2 linked regions of the Anolis sagrei genome follow. The protein of the gene in region 2 binds, or shares a complex with, the protein of the main gene of each other region. Links are inferred from orthologs where the notes say so. Each region holds a gene or a part of one and is shown on either strand. Other genes may lie near its edges.

Evidence for each region. Proteins that work in one complex are often made in the same cells at the same time.
Region 1: KAT6B (region 2) and BRPF1 share a complex: the UniProt entries of both Homo sapiens proteins name them as parts of the MOZ/MORF complex. The link is inferred for Anolis sagrei from reciprocal best matches to the Homo sapiens genes KAT6B and BRPF1.

The regions. Positions count from the first base shown.
Region 1 is NC_090022.1:26,957,094-26,964,587, reverse strand, and holds the start of BRPF1 (peregrin), read right to left. Parts: upstream 3,016-7,494; 5' UTR 2,748-3,015; intron 1-2,747. UniProt on the Homo sapiens protein: Scaffold subunit of various histone acetyltransferase (HAT) complexes, such as the MOZ/MORF and HBO1 complexes, which have a histone H3 acetyltransferase activity.
Region 2 is NC_090023.1:148,789,240-148,797,099, reverse strand, and holds the start of KAT6B (histone acetyltransferase KAT6B), read right to left. Parts: upstream 3,007-7,860; 5' UTR 2,796-3,006; intron 1,762-2,795; exon of another isoform or gene 1,675-1,761; intron 1-1,674. UniProt on the Homo sapiens protein: Histone acetyltransferase which may be involved in both positive and negative regulation of transcription. Required for RUNX2-dependent transcriptional activation. May be involved in cerebral cortex development.

The sequences.
Region 1 (7,494 bases), on a different chromosome or scaffold from region 2:
AGTGAGGCTGCTTCCCTCTTTGGCAGACAGGGATAAAAAGACTTTGCAAAGCTCTATGGAATTGTAGGATTTGGTGAGGCATAGAAAGCTAAAGATCTTGTAAACTTAGAACTCCCAGGATTCTACCACACTGAGCCATGACAGTTAAAGCAGTATCAACTTTAATTCTGACACACATGCCTCCTACATACTGGGCAACCAATTGGGGTGAAGGAGGGATGGCAGGACTATCAAGCCACCCCTTCCTCTATACCAGGCCTGGGCAAACTTCAGCCCTCCAACTCCCACAGTTCCTAACAGTTGGTGGACTGATCTAAACATAGTAGAATGAATGCAGTTTGGGACCCCTTTAACTGCTGTGGCTCAATGCTATGCAATCATGGGATTTGTAGTTTTTTGAGGAATCAGCTCTCTTTGGCAGAGAAAACAGAAGACCTTGTAAACGAGGCATGGCAAACTTGGGCTCTCCAGGTGTTTTGGACTTCAACTCCCACAATTTCTAACTGATGCCTGTTGTAAATGAACAGCTCCCATGCTTCTCTAGCATTTAGCCAGGGCAATGAAAGTGGTGTCAAACAACTAATTCAACATTACAGATGCCACCCTCAGTCTCTATTCTCTCTGGCTCCATTCCCCATTGTTCTGCAGAATGAGTGGCCACTTGACACCACTTCAACTCAAGGCAGTAGGGTCCTCCCAGCTGTAGTTTCACAAGGTCTTTAGTCTTCTTGGCTGGGCCCTCACCAAACTACAACTCACAGGATCCCACAGCCTTAAGCCAGGGCAGTTAAAGCAGTGCCAAACTGCATTCATTCTGTAATATAGATGTGTACCTGATGTCAGCACGGCTGGCAGGAACAAACTACAACTCCCAGGATGCCATAGCCTTGAGCAGTGGCAGTTAAAGCAGTGCCAAGCTGCATTCATTCTGTAATATAGATGCGCCTGAGGTCAGCACTGCTGCCAGAAACAAACTACAACTTCCAGGATCCCACAGCCTTGAGCCAGGGCAGTTAAAGCAATGCCAAACTGCATTCATTCTGTAATATAGATGTGTGCCTGAAGTCAACACTGCTGCCAGGAACAAACTACAACTCCCAGGATGTCATAGCCTTGAGCAGTGGCAGTTAAAGCTGCGCCAAACTGCATTCATTCTTTAATATAGGTGCGCTTGAAGTCTGCACTGTTGCCAGGGACAAACTTCAACTCCCTGGACTCCCTAGCTTTGAGCTGGGGCAGTTAAAGTGGTGCGAAACTCCATTCATTCTGTAACATAGATGTATGCCTGAAGTCAGCACTGTTGCCAGGAACAAACAGCAACTCCCAAGATCCCACTGACTTGAGCAGTGGCAGTTAAATTGAATTAATTCTGTAATATAGATGTGTGCCTGAAACTGCATTCATTCTGTAATATATATGTGCCTGAAGTCAGCACTGCTGCCAGGAACAAACTACAACTCCCAAGATCCCAATGACTTGAGCAGTGGCAATTAAATTGAATTAATTCTGTAATATAGATGCGCCTTAAATTAGTACTGCTGCCAGGAACACACTACAACTCCCTGGACTCCCTAGCCTTGGGCCAGGGCAGTTAAAGCGGTGCCAAACTGCATTCATTCTGGAACATAGATGTGTGTCTGAAGTCAGCACTGCTGCCAGGAACAAACTACAACTCCCAAGATCCCATTGACTTGAGCAGGGGCAGTTAAACTGAATTAATTCTGTAATATAGATGTGTGCCTGAAACTGCATTCATTCTGTAATATAGATGCGCCTGAAGTCAGCACTGCTGCCAGGAACAAACTACAACTCCCAAGATCCCACTGACTTGAGCAGTGACAGTTAAAGCGGCGCCAAACCGCATTCATTCTGTAATATAGATGTGTACCTGAAGTCAGCACTGCTGTCAGGAACAAACTACAACTCCCAGGATCCCACTTCCTTGAGCCAGGGCAGTTAAAGCGGCGCCAAACTGCATTAATTCTGTAATATAGATGTGTGCCTGAAGTCAGCACTGCTGCCAGGAACAAACTACAACTCCCAAGATCCCACTTCATTGAGCCAGGGCAGTTAAAGCAGTGCCAAACTGCATTCATTCTGTAACATAGATGTGTGCCTGAAGTCAGCACTGCTGCCAAGAACAAACCACAACTTCCAGGATGCCACTTCCTTGAGCCAGGGCAGTTAAAGCGGCGCCAAACTGCATTCATTCTGTAATATAGATGTGCCTTAAATCAGTACTGCTGCCAGGAACAAACTACAACTCCCTGGACTCCCTAGCTTTGAGCTGGGGCAGTTAAAGCGGTGCCAAACCGCATTAATTCTGTAATATAGATGTGTGCCTGAAGTCAGCACTGCTGCCAGGAACAAACAACAACTCCCAAGATCCCACTGACTTCAGCAGTGGCAGTTAAACTGAATTAATTCTGTAATATAGATGTGTGCCTGAAACTGCATTCATTCTGTAATATAGATGCGCCTGAAGTCAACACTGCTGCCTGGAACAAACTACAACTCCCAAGACTCCACAGCCTTGAGCAGGGGCAGTTTAAAGCGGTGCCAAACCGTTTTAACCGCACAGGGTGGCTGCGCCCCCCTTTCTCGTGTGGATCTGAGGCAAGAAAGAGTAGGCCGCAACCGCCGAACCCCGTGAATCCTCCACCCAGCCTTAATATCCCCTCCAAGGCGGAGGCCCGTTTTGCCTCCCGCAGGCCCTCTTCCCCTCCGTCCCCGGCTCCCCTCCTCACCCGAAGCGACTTAGGCCTCAGGCCTGCGGGGGCTGTGAGGCGGCTGCAGCGTGGCGTCGGCAGCCGCCATGGGCCCCAACCCGGACAATGGAGGAGGAGGAGAAAGAGGAGAAGGCGAGGGACGAGGGCGGCCAGGCTCCAGCTTCTTCTCCTTCTTCTTCTCCTCGTCCTTCTGATTTTTCAGTGTCGGCCAGCAGAAGAACCAGCAGCAGCAGCAACAGAGAGAGAGGCAGCTCCTGCGCGGGGAGGCCCCGCTGGGTAAAGCGGCTCCTTGGCAACCGCACTTTCGACACCCAGGAGCAGGCATATTCGGAATTTGACCCCATTCACAGGTTTATTTTAACACTTATTTAAATCCATTTGAATATTAATCCCTTTTGTTTTTCTCTGGAGTGAAAAGAAAGTTCACTTGGTGAGAACGTGAGACGAATCTGCTCGCGGGAATGGCAAGGCTAGGCCCAAACGAAGGAAGGGGAGGGAGAAGGAGGCAGAGCTGGGTTAGAGTGCATCTCTCTCTTCCAGGCACGGGCAGACTTGGGCCCTCCAGGTGTTTTGGACTTCAACTCCCACAATTCCTAGCACCAGGAAGGCCCAAGTTTGCCCATGCCTGATCTGCACTGTATCCTGGGAGTTGTAGTTTGGTGAGGCAGTAGCTACAAGGCTACAAGGCCTTGTAGAACTACAACCCCCAGGACCCCTAGCGTTGAGTGGTGTCAAACTGTATCAATTTTACAGTGTAGAACGGGGTCCTCAAACAGAGTCCCTCAAAATATTGGAGGGCCCCATTATAATTTGAAAAAAATATATGAATGAATTCCTATGCACACTGCACATATCTTATTTATAGTGCAAAAACCACTTAAAAACAATATAATAATTAAAATGAAGAACAATTTTAACAAATACCATAGAATCCTAGAGTTGGAAGAGACCTCATGGGCTATCCAGTCCAACCCCCTGCCAAGAAGCAGGAATATTGCATTCAAAGCACCCCTGACAGATGGCCATCCAGCCTCTGTTTAAAAGCTTCCAAAGAAGGAGCCTCCACCACACTCCGGGGCAGAGAGTTCCACTGCTGAACGGCTCTCACAGTCAGGAAGTTCTTCCTCATGTTCAGATGGAATCTCCTCTCTTGTAGTTTGAAGCCATTGTTCCGCGTTCTAGTCTCCAAGGAAGCAGAAAACAAGCTTGCTCCCTCCTCCCTATGGCTTCCTCTCACATATTTATACATGGCTATCATATCTCCTCTCAGCCTTCTCTTCTTCAGGCTAAACATGCCCAGCTCCTTAAGCCGCTCCTCATAGGGCTTGTTCTCCAGACCCTTGATCATTTTAGTCGCCCTCCTCTGGACACATTCCAGCTTGTCAATATCTCTCTTGAATTGTGGTGCCCAGAATTGGACACAATATTCCAGATGTGGTCTAACCAAAACAGAATAGAGGGGTAGCATGATCTAGACACTATGCTCCTATGCTCCTAGAGGGGTAGCTAGATCTAGACACTATGCTCCTATTGATGCAGGCCAAAATCCCATTGGCTTTTTTTGCCGCCACATCACATTGTCAGCTCATGTTTAACTTGTTGTCCACGAGGACTCCAAGATCTTTTTCACACGTACTGCTCTCGAGCCAGGCATCCTCCATTCTGTATCTTTGCATTTCATTGTAGAACTACAACTCCCAGGGACCCCTAGCATTGAGTGGTGTCAAACTGCATCATTTTTACAGTGTAGAATATGCATCCTCAGGCTTAAGCTTCCAACCTAACCAGCTTTCCTCCTTACCTTGGTCTAGCAATTAGATCTCAGGCCTGTGATGAAATAAAACCTCTCTGTATCAGTATTATTTATTTATTTATTATTTGAACTTAAATGCTGCCACTCCCCTGGGGCTCGGAGCGGCTTACAAGAATGGCTAAAATCTAACAAAATTTAAAAGCAATTTAAAACAATTGAAACACAGCAGTATCAAACATTAAAAGCCTGTCGAAACATGTATGTCTTACATGCCCTGCGGAAAGCTGGTAAGTCCCAGACTTCAGGTGGCAGAGTATTCCAGAGTGATGGTGCCACTGCTGTGAAGGCTCTGCGTCTGGTTGCTGTTAGGCGCAAGGTCTTGACACTGGGAATTTCCAATAGATCTTGGTCCTCAGAACGGAGGGATCTCTAGGGTTGGTAGGGGGTGAGGCGGTCCCTCAGGTACATCGGCCCCAGACCATGCAAGGCCTTAAAGGTGAGTACCATCACTTTGAAAGTGATCCAGTGCTCAATTGGTAACCAATGCAGCTGCCGTAAGATTGGTGTTATGTGGCATCTCATCGGAATTCCCGCAAGAAGCCGAGCAGCTGCATTTTGTACCAACTTGAGCTTCCGGATCACCGACAGAGGAAGGCCAATGTAGAGGGCGCTACAGTAGTCCAGTCTTGAGATGACCGTGGCCTGGATCACCGTAGCTAGGTCATCCCTGGACAGGTAGGGGGCCAGCCGTCTAGACTGCCACAGATGAAAGAAAGCGGTTCTGCTAACGGCAGAGACCTGGGCCTCCATCGTCAGCAGAGGGTCCAAAAGGACTCCCAGACTCTTTACCAATGATGACGGGCGTAGCGCCTCGCCATCCAGGGTAGGCAGCTGGATGTCCCCACTGACTGGTCGACCCAGCCATAGGATCTCCGTCTTTGCTGGGTTCACCCTCAACCTGCTGGCACGCAGCCATCCAGTAACGGCCTCGAGGCACTGATGGAAACAATCGGGTACAGAGTCCGGTCGGCCTTCCATCTTCAGCACCAGCTGAGTGTCATTGGCGTACTGGTAACACTCAAGCCCAAAACCTCAAACCAGCTGAGCAAGTGGTCGCATATAGAAGTTAAACAACAGAGGGGAGAGAATGGCCCCCTGAGGAACCCCACAAGATAGAGGGGACCTCTCAGAGACCAGGCCTCCCCTCTTCACTCGCTCTCCACGGTTGTGAAGAAAGGAGGACAGCCAGTTTAAAGCTGTCCCCCTGACTCCAACAACAGCAAGGCGGTGGGTCAAAAGATTGTGGTCGACTGTGTCAAATGCTGCTGTGAGATCCAATAACACAAGCAGCGCTGACCCGCCCTGGTCAAGCTGGCATCGAAGGTGATCCGTGATGGAGACCAGCACGGTCTCTGTCCCGTGCCCCACACGGAAGCTGGACTGGAAGGGATCTAGTCCGGCTGTGTCATCTCAGAATTGCTGCAACTGCTTCGCTGCTACCCTCTCAATCACCTTGCCCAGTATTATTATAGGTGGCTGTGAGTTTTCTGAGCCTGTGTGGCCATGTTGCAGAAGCATTATCTCCTGACATTTTGTCCACTTTATTTACTGTCCTGATTCTAGAGGTTTTTTTAATACTGGTTGCAAAATTTTGTTCAAACATACTGAGGTCGAACATGACCTCCCCCACCCCCATAAGAAATAGTAACTTATAGTTTTGCTAAGGACAAAAACATCAGGCTGGATAATAGGGGTAAAGTCTTGGTCAAATTTGCAAAGACAGTAACAACCACAACAGGGAGCCTTCCCATGCCAGATAGTGTGTATGTTTAATCAAGGTTTTATGCCCTATGCTTCATATATAGCAGAAGGTAATACATTTATTACTGAGAAACCACCTCCCTTTACACTTATGTACTCTCTTGAACTTTTATAGGGCTTTCCCCCTTCTGGAGGACTCTTAGAAACTTTTTGGAAACTTTACCTTTTCAAGCCCCATGAACCTTTGGACTTTTTAAAACTTGTTCCTCTCCCCAGCCCCATGGGCTCTCAAAATGGCTTTATGAATTCCCAATGGACTTTGGTGGGTGGGGGGAGGTGGAGATGGGCTCTTTCTCTTTATATGAATGTACCCTCATATGATTAACTTGCATGTTTCCCCCTTCTCCATACCCCTTATATGAAATATGAAATGCCACTCTTTGTGACCCCAGCGCCCAAAGCCTTAGGGAAAACTTCACATTCCTCTGAGAAGATAATCCTTTGATTGTTGGGTCTGTGGGCTCTCACCCTCCAGGGCGAGAGCCACTAAATTCCTGCTCAATATCAATACCAGTATTATTTTTTTTTTAAAAAAAATCCAAAGTCAGGACAGTAAATAAAGAAGAACACTCAGAAAGCAGGGGAATTCCAGACAGGAAACAATCAGAGCCAGCTAACATCTCCCCAGGCAGGAAACAGCCAGGCTTTAAAGCTGCAAGGCCATTAAATGCTAATCAAGATGGCCATTTGCAACATTCACACTTGCCCCCAACAGACAAGATTTAGTAGGGTCATGGCTGACGTATCAGCCCAAGCTGGTAGTAAGCACTCCTGATGGTTGTAGCTACCTGGGCTGACATTTGGAGGGACAGATCCAGGAATACTCCCAAGCTGCGAACACAGTCTTTCAGGGGCAGTGTAACTCCATCCAGAATTGGTTGACACACTTCTATCCCCAGATTAGGACCCTTGATGGCAATCACCTTTGCTTTGTCTGGATTCAGTTTCAATTTGTTTTTTCTTGGCTAGCCCATGACCTCATAATAATAATAATAATAATAATAATAATAATACACTTTATTTATACCCTACCACTATCTCTCCAAGACGACTCGGGGCGGCTTAGGTAAAGGTAAAGGTAGTCCCCTGACATTAAGTCCAGTCATGTCTGACTCTGGGGTGTGGTGCTCATCTCCATTTCTAAGCCGAAGAGCCAGAGTTGTCCGTAGACACCTCCAAGGTCATGTGGCC
Region 2 (7,860 bases):
CAAACAGCCATATGACCCAGAATATCATGGCAGATGATCCAGAATATCTGCTTTGAACTGGGATATCTAAGGGCCCTGCCACACAGCCCTATATCCCAGAATATCAAGTCAGAAAATCCCACATTATCTCTGTGTGGACTCAGATAACCCAGTTTAAAGCAGATATTGTGGGATCTTCTGCCTTGATATTCTGGGTTATATGCCTGTGTGGAAGCACCCTCAGATTGTTTTTCTCAGGAACTCCTCAGGACCCTTCCCCACAGCCCTATAACCCAGAATATAAAAACAGAAAATCCCACAATACCTCTGTGTGGACTCATACAACCCAGTTCAAATCAGATATTGTGGGATTTTCTGCCTTGATATTCTGGGAAATAGGGCTGCCCTGAGCCCATACTGCCATATAACCCAGTTCAAAGCAGATATTATGGGGTTTTCTGCCATGATATTCTGGGATATAGGGTTGCCCTAAGCCAATACTGCCATATAACCCAGTTCAAAGCAGATATTGTGGGGTTTTCTGCCTTGATATTCTGGGATGTAGGGCTGCCCTGAGCCCATACTGCCATATAACCCAGTTCAATGCAGATCTTGTGGGATTTTCTGCCTTGATATTCTGGGATACAGGGCTGCCCTGAGCCCATACTGCCATATAACCCAGTTCAATGCAGATATTGTGGGATTTTCTGCCTTGATATTCTGGGATACAGGGCTGCCCTGAGCCCATACTGCCATATAACCCAGTTCAAAGCAGATATTGTGGGATTTACTGCCTTGATATTCTGGGTTATATGCCTGTGTGGAAGCGTACTCAGATTGTTTTCCTCAGGAGCCCCTCGGGACCCTTCCCCACAGCCCTATAACCCAGAATATCAAAGCAGAAAATCCCACAATATCTCTGTGTGTTCTCAGCTAACCCAGTTCAAAGCAGATATTGTGGGGTTTTCTGCCTTGATATTCTGGGATGTAGGGCTGCCCTGAGCCCATACTGCCATATAACCCTGTTCAAAACAGATATAGTGGTATTTTCTGCCTTGATATTATGGGATGTAGGGCTGCCCTGAGCCCATACTGCCATATAACCCAGTTTCAAAGCAGATATTGTGGGATTTTCTGCCTTGATATTATGGGATGTAGGGCTGCCCTGAGCCCATACTGCCATATAACCCAGTTTCAAAGCAGATATTGTGGGGTTTTCTGCCTTGATACTCTGGGATATAGGGCTGCCCTGAGCCCATACTGCCATATAACCCAGTTCAAAGCAGATAATGTGGGATTTTATACAGCTGTGTGGAAGGGTCCTGAGCTCTCCTCCCCAAGCCTCTCAGAGGCCACGTTCAAAGGCACGCGCCCAACCAACGCTTCCTTCAGCTCTGCATAGCAGGCCTCTTATTTACCCATCCAATAACTCCAAGCCCATCCAGTTGCCCTCACAGGGTTGATTTGCATAGCTGGCCCCGCCCCACGCCCCCCCTCTCTCCTCGCGCGCGCCACCTGCAACGAGGGCGCGAGGCCCCTGCTTGCCTCGCCTCGTCCGCCGGGGGGCGCTCGCGACCCACCCTCCGCCGGGGGGAGGAGCCAAGGCAAGCCCCAGCTGCGCCCCCTGCCGGCCTCCCCGCCGCCGCCCAAGTTCCCTCCTCCTCGGGCAGCGCCCGCGCCGCCACCGCTTCTCACCTCGCCGCCCTTCGCCTTTCAAGCCGCCTTCGCTGCCGCCATTTTGTCTCGCCCTCTCGCAGTCACCGCGCATCCGACATGACACCCGATGACAGCCCGATGTAGGCTCATTACAGCCTCTGCCCCCCCTCCCTCGCTTGCCCTCCCCTTGGTGGACGCCCCGCCTCTTCGTTCAAACCGCCGCGCTCATTGGCGGCAGCGCCCTGCCTCTCGTCATTCCTCTCCACCAACCCATTTAGACCTAGCACGCCATTGGACGGTGAGTGCTGTCAATCAATCCTATAGTCGGGGGAGGGAAAAAAATGCACTGTCGCTGTCCACGATCCTAGTTGGCTGGCAATTACACATAAAAAGGGGGAGGGACGAAGATTGAGAGAGAGAGAAAAGGGAGGCACGCTTTGGCTTGTTTAATAGGCTAGTGAAGCTATCAATCAAGCTCAAGCAGCCTCCCTTTTTTTTGCCTTTGCTTCGGTTTCATCCTGAAGTTTGTAATCTGTGGGAATAGAGCGGGGGGCGCTTTCGGCGTGCGGGAGGGCACGCGACACATACTAATCAGCGGCGCGCGGGAGTACTGTATTATTATTGTTATTATTATTGAGTTTCACGCCACGCGGGCGGGCGGAATTGAAAGGGGAAACAAAACAAGCTCCAAATCAGAAGGAAGGGAAAGATTGAGAGAGAGAGGGAGGAAGAAGGGTGCACGCGCTGCCTGCCCAGGCACGCGGGGCCCGCCGAACCCGCCCATTTCCTGCAGGAAACAATCGCAGTCTATAAGGAGGGAGGGAGGAGGGAAAGGCACGGATCCTCTGTAAACACGTGCCTTGGCGGGAGGGAGACAGAGAGAGAGAAAGGAGAGATGCTCCTTAGGAATGTGGCTCCGAGGAGAAGGCAAAGAGAAGAACCCCACCAACAACAACAACCCTTTCCCCCCAAACTATCGATTTCCCTGCTCCACAACAATCCCAAAACACACCCCACACAAAAACCCCCAGAGATTGGGAAGCAGAAGCACTCCAACGGGAGGAATCCTCCCCATCCTCATCCTCCTTTCCCTCCCCCTTCCAAAGAATCCAATCTTTTGCAAACCAATCCATCCATCCATCAATTCCCCCCCATCCGACCTTTCTTGGTGGCTGCAGATTTGTCTCCCGGACCCGGTGGTGGTGGTGGGCTCTAAAAGCAGGGACTTGATCACGGCTAATTGAAAGGTTAATCTACATAAGGCTCTGACAGAAGAGGTCCCTCCCCGTTTTCTGGGTTGTTGCGGGGTTTTTTTTTTCTTTCTCTCTCTTTTTTTTAATCTGCTCCTGGCAAGTGGGAAACGGAGCTCCTCGGGAGGGAGGGGGAGGAGGAGGAGGAGGGGAAAGGGAAGGGGAGGAAGGAAGGGGGAGGCTGGCTAGATGGCTGGCTGGCTGGCTGGACGGAGGCAGGGAGGGAGGAGGGAAGGAGGGGCGCCATCCCAAGGCAAGGGGCCCCTTCGCCAAGGAGGCATCCGCAGGGCTGGGAGCGCCTTTTGTCCTCAGAGCTGGAAGAAGGGGCTGCCTACCCCCCCAACCTGGTACCAACTTGGGGACCCCCCCCCCTTTCCTCGCTTCTCCACGCTCCCCATGCCTGCCTTCTCTCTACAAAGGTGGCCCTCCTTCAGGTACAAGACTCAGTCACACAACAACCTCTTCTCTGCTAGGCTTGAGCAGCTGCCAAGTTTGTGGGTGCCACACAGAATTCCTCCTTGATACCCATCCATCATATACACATGCATACACATATATGCATACTCACATGTATACACATATGTACATGGACATATATGCATACATACATAGATAGGCATATTTTGTTGTTGTTGTTCATTTGTTTAGTCATCTCCGACTCTTCGGGACCTCATGGGCCAGCCTACGCCAGAGCTCCCTGTCAGCTGTCACCACCCCCAGCTCCTTCAAGGTCAGTCCGGTCACTTCAAGGATGCCATCCATCCATCTTGCCCTTGGTCAGCCCCTCTTCCTTTTTTTCTTCCACTTTCCCCATCATCATTGTCTTCTCTAGGCTTTGCTGTCTCCTCATGATGTGGCCAAAGTATTTCAACTTTGTCTCCAGTATCCTTCCCTCCAATGTCTCCAGTATCCTTCCCTCTGGGCTTTATTTCCTGGAGGATGGACTGGTTGGATCTTCTCGCAGTCCACGGCACTCTCAGCACTTTCCTCCAACACCACAGTTCAAAAGCATCGATCTTCCTTCACTCAGCCTTCCCTAAGGTCCAGCTCTCACATCCGTAGGTTACTACAGGGAATACCATGGCTTTGACTATGCAGATCTTTGTTTACAAATAGAAATATACATATATACATACACAGTAAATGCACAACTCCAGAGGTTAGCCAGAAGAGATAAGGACCTTGAAGGAGCTGGGGGTGGTGACGGCTGACAGGTTGCTCTGGCATGGGCTGGCTCATGAAGTCATGAAGAGTCAGAAGTGACTGAATGAATGAACAACAAATACATATATATATATATATATATATATACATACAAATATAAACGCACACCCACATATATACATACAAATACAAACCTGCACATACATACATATGCACATGTACATGCACATATATGCATATATGTATATATATATATATATATACACATACACATATGCATATATATACGAATATAAACATTCACTTATACATACATATATACAGTATACAAATATACACATACCCACATATACAAATATAAAGATACACATATGCATGCACATCTTTACATATAAATGTAAACATACACATATGGATGCACATATAAATATGCACACACACACATATATATGCACATATACATACAAATATAAACACACACATATACATACATCTGCTAGGCTTGAGCAGCTGCCAAGTTTGTGGGTGCCACACAGAATTCCTCCTTGATACCCATTCATCATATACACATGCATATATATATATGCATACGCCATGAGTCGCCCTAATGGGCTGAGAATGGCGGTTAATAAATGCATCAAATAAATAAAAATAAATAAATACCCACATATATATACAGATAAGTACATGCACATATATGCATACATACATATGCATATACACACAAATATAAACATACATATACATCCGCATAGAAATATATCCCCATATATATACAAATATAAATATACATATATACATACACTGTAAATGCACAATGCCAGAGGTTAGCCAGAAAAGATAAGGAGCCGACAGGAAGCTCTGGCATGGGCTGGTTCATGAGGTCATGAAGAGTCGGAAGTGACTGAACGAATGAACAACAAAAACATACATACATATATATGCATACAAATACAAACCTACACATATATTCATATGCACAAGTACATGCACATATATACATATATATACATACATATATGCATATACATACAAATATAAACATTCACTTGTACATACATATATACAGTACACACAAATATAAACATACACATACCTACATATACAAATATAAACATACACATATGCATGCACATCTGTACATATAAATGTAAACATACACATATGCATGCACATATAAATATACAAACACACACATATATATATGCACATATACATACAAATATAAACACACACATATATACATACAAATATAAACACATATATACAAATATAAACATATATACATATACACAAATATACACATGCAAATATAAACACACACCCAATATATATACATATACAAATACAACATACACATATATACATACACATATATACACATGCACATACACATGTACATTCACATATATGCATACATATATATACAAGCACATATATGCATATACATACAAATATAAACACATGCATGCATATACACACACATATATAAATATAATCATACATATACACATATACATACACACCTATATACATAAAGTATGCACACATATATACATAGACATACACATACACATATACATACAATATAAACATACACACACACACATATATGTGTGTGTGTGTGTGTACAATGATACCTTGAGTTAAGAGTTTAAATTGTTTATGACTGGACTCTTAACTCAAAATGCTGTTATCTCAAAGCTAATTTTCCATTGAACTGCTATTAATCCATTCCATGCCCCTTGTTGTGGTTCAGCCTGTGATTGTGACAGCATCTGAGGTCTCACAGAAGCCTGGTTCTTTACCTGATGTGGCTGAGGATTCTGGGAATTATAGGTCAATTGCTTTGTTTTTAAAGAAATAAACTTTATATCGACCCTTTGATCTTTTACCTTCAGTAAACTGCTTTGCTTATAAATTGAGTTCTGGAGTGGTGAGACTGGTTTAAAGGTGCCCTTCCAGCCCTGGTGTGCGACCCCCCCCCCCCCATTTTTGTTACATGCTTTTAAAATAAAGATGTAATTGTCAGTAACAAGTAATGTATAAATGCACATTTATTTGAAACTGTTTAAAAGAACAATCAACTGTAAAATGGTAGAAGTGCAAATTTGTAGTAAGGAAGCACATTTGAGGCAACAAAATGTGTGCTGGCCATTGTAATAGCAAGGCAAAACCTGCACGTTCACATGGAATAATAAAAAAAGAAAGATCAACTTGAAAATGGTAGAGGTACAAAGTTGTGGCAAGGAAGCCCAAAGTGAAGAGGCAGAAGCATCATTTTCTTCCTACTGGACACATTCCAGCCTCCCTCCCTCTCTTGTTCTTTCTCCCTCTCTTCATGAAGCCAAACATACCAGGAATAAAAAAGCACACAAACTAACCCAAAGTTCTTCAAAGGGGACAGCAATCTCCCAAAGCAGACAAGAGCACATGGTACGGATGCTACTCCCTTGAAGCTCTAAAGCACTGTACTCTTTCGCTAGTGCTCCCTCTAGCACCAGCTCTTAATGCAAAATGCTGCTTGTATGTCAAAGCAAAACCTGGACAAGTGACAGCTCATGACTCAAAATGCTTTTAGGTTGGAACGCTTTTAAGTTGAGGTTCTACTGTATACACATACATATTCATCCACACACACAGAGAGATATCTATAACTCATAAATCATTGCTATGTATTCAAGCCTTGCAAGGTCTCGGGGTGCATCTACACCCCGGATGTCAAACTCTAGGTTCATGAGCCAAATCCATCCCACTGTGGCATTTTCAGTGGCTTTCCAGATGCTGGAGTATGACTCCTATATCACCATACTAAAGCTGATGGGAGTTGGGCCAAAGCTTGTTCTGTTTAGTCAGGAGAGTGTGGTTTGTGTTGACGTTAAAATGTCTTTTAGTCTTTCCTCAACTTCAGAACCACAAGGGCTCCTGAGTTGCCATTCCTGTTATCTCCGTTCCGCATGGCGTATTGTCAACAGGGATTAAAGTTGTCCTTCAATCTTATGTAAATTTACATAAAAATTAAAGCGTGCCAACAACTATGTAAAACAATTACATTATGTAACACAATTTTTGTTCCTGGTTTATAAATGTCATTTCCTAATTGGGTCTACCATAAAAACATGGAAAAAGCTTATTAAACTGCAAAACCTTTTCTTTTCTTTTCTTTTCTTTTTTTGCAGGACATCCTGCAGCACATTTTGCTCTAGTTTTTCAATGAATATCTCACCAAGGCTCAACCAATTCAACATAGTTTGTGGCAGCCACAAAAACAAAGTTTCAATCTGGAATATAACAATGTAGAGTATAACAACTTTCAAAGTAAGTACTGCACAATTTAACAAGAAATAACACTTTCAAACCAGAAACATGTCCCCCCACTCCACAAATTTTGTTACATCGTGTTACTGTTTGCTCTCTGTATCCATGGATTTTCCATCCATGGATTCAATGGCCCTTTGAAGGCAACGGTAACACTGATGTGGCTCTCAATGAGAATCAGTTTGACATGCCTGACATAAATAATAACACAGTTAGTAGGAAAATTGCAACTGTTGTCCTATATATGGCTGGCTGGGAGGCATAGCTACATGTAGGACAGGGCTTCTCAGGCTATTCAGGGAGAGGGAATGGTTCCCCACACAAACACACATTGTGTCAAGGCTTAGCATCATGTTTGTGCCCATTAGGTACCCCAGTTTCTCACTTGCCTTGAAACTTGCAGGTGATGCCCTACAAACCACCTCATTGCACTGAAAGCATGGGTGACCATCACTTTAAGAGTAGAGAATTGCCCCTCTTATATTGTCAGCAG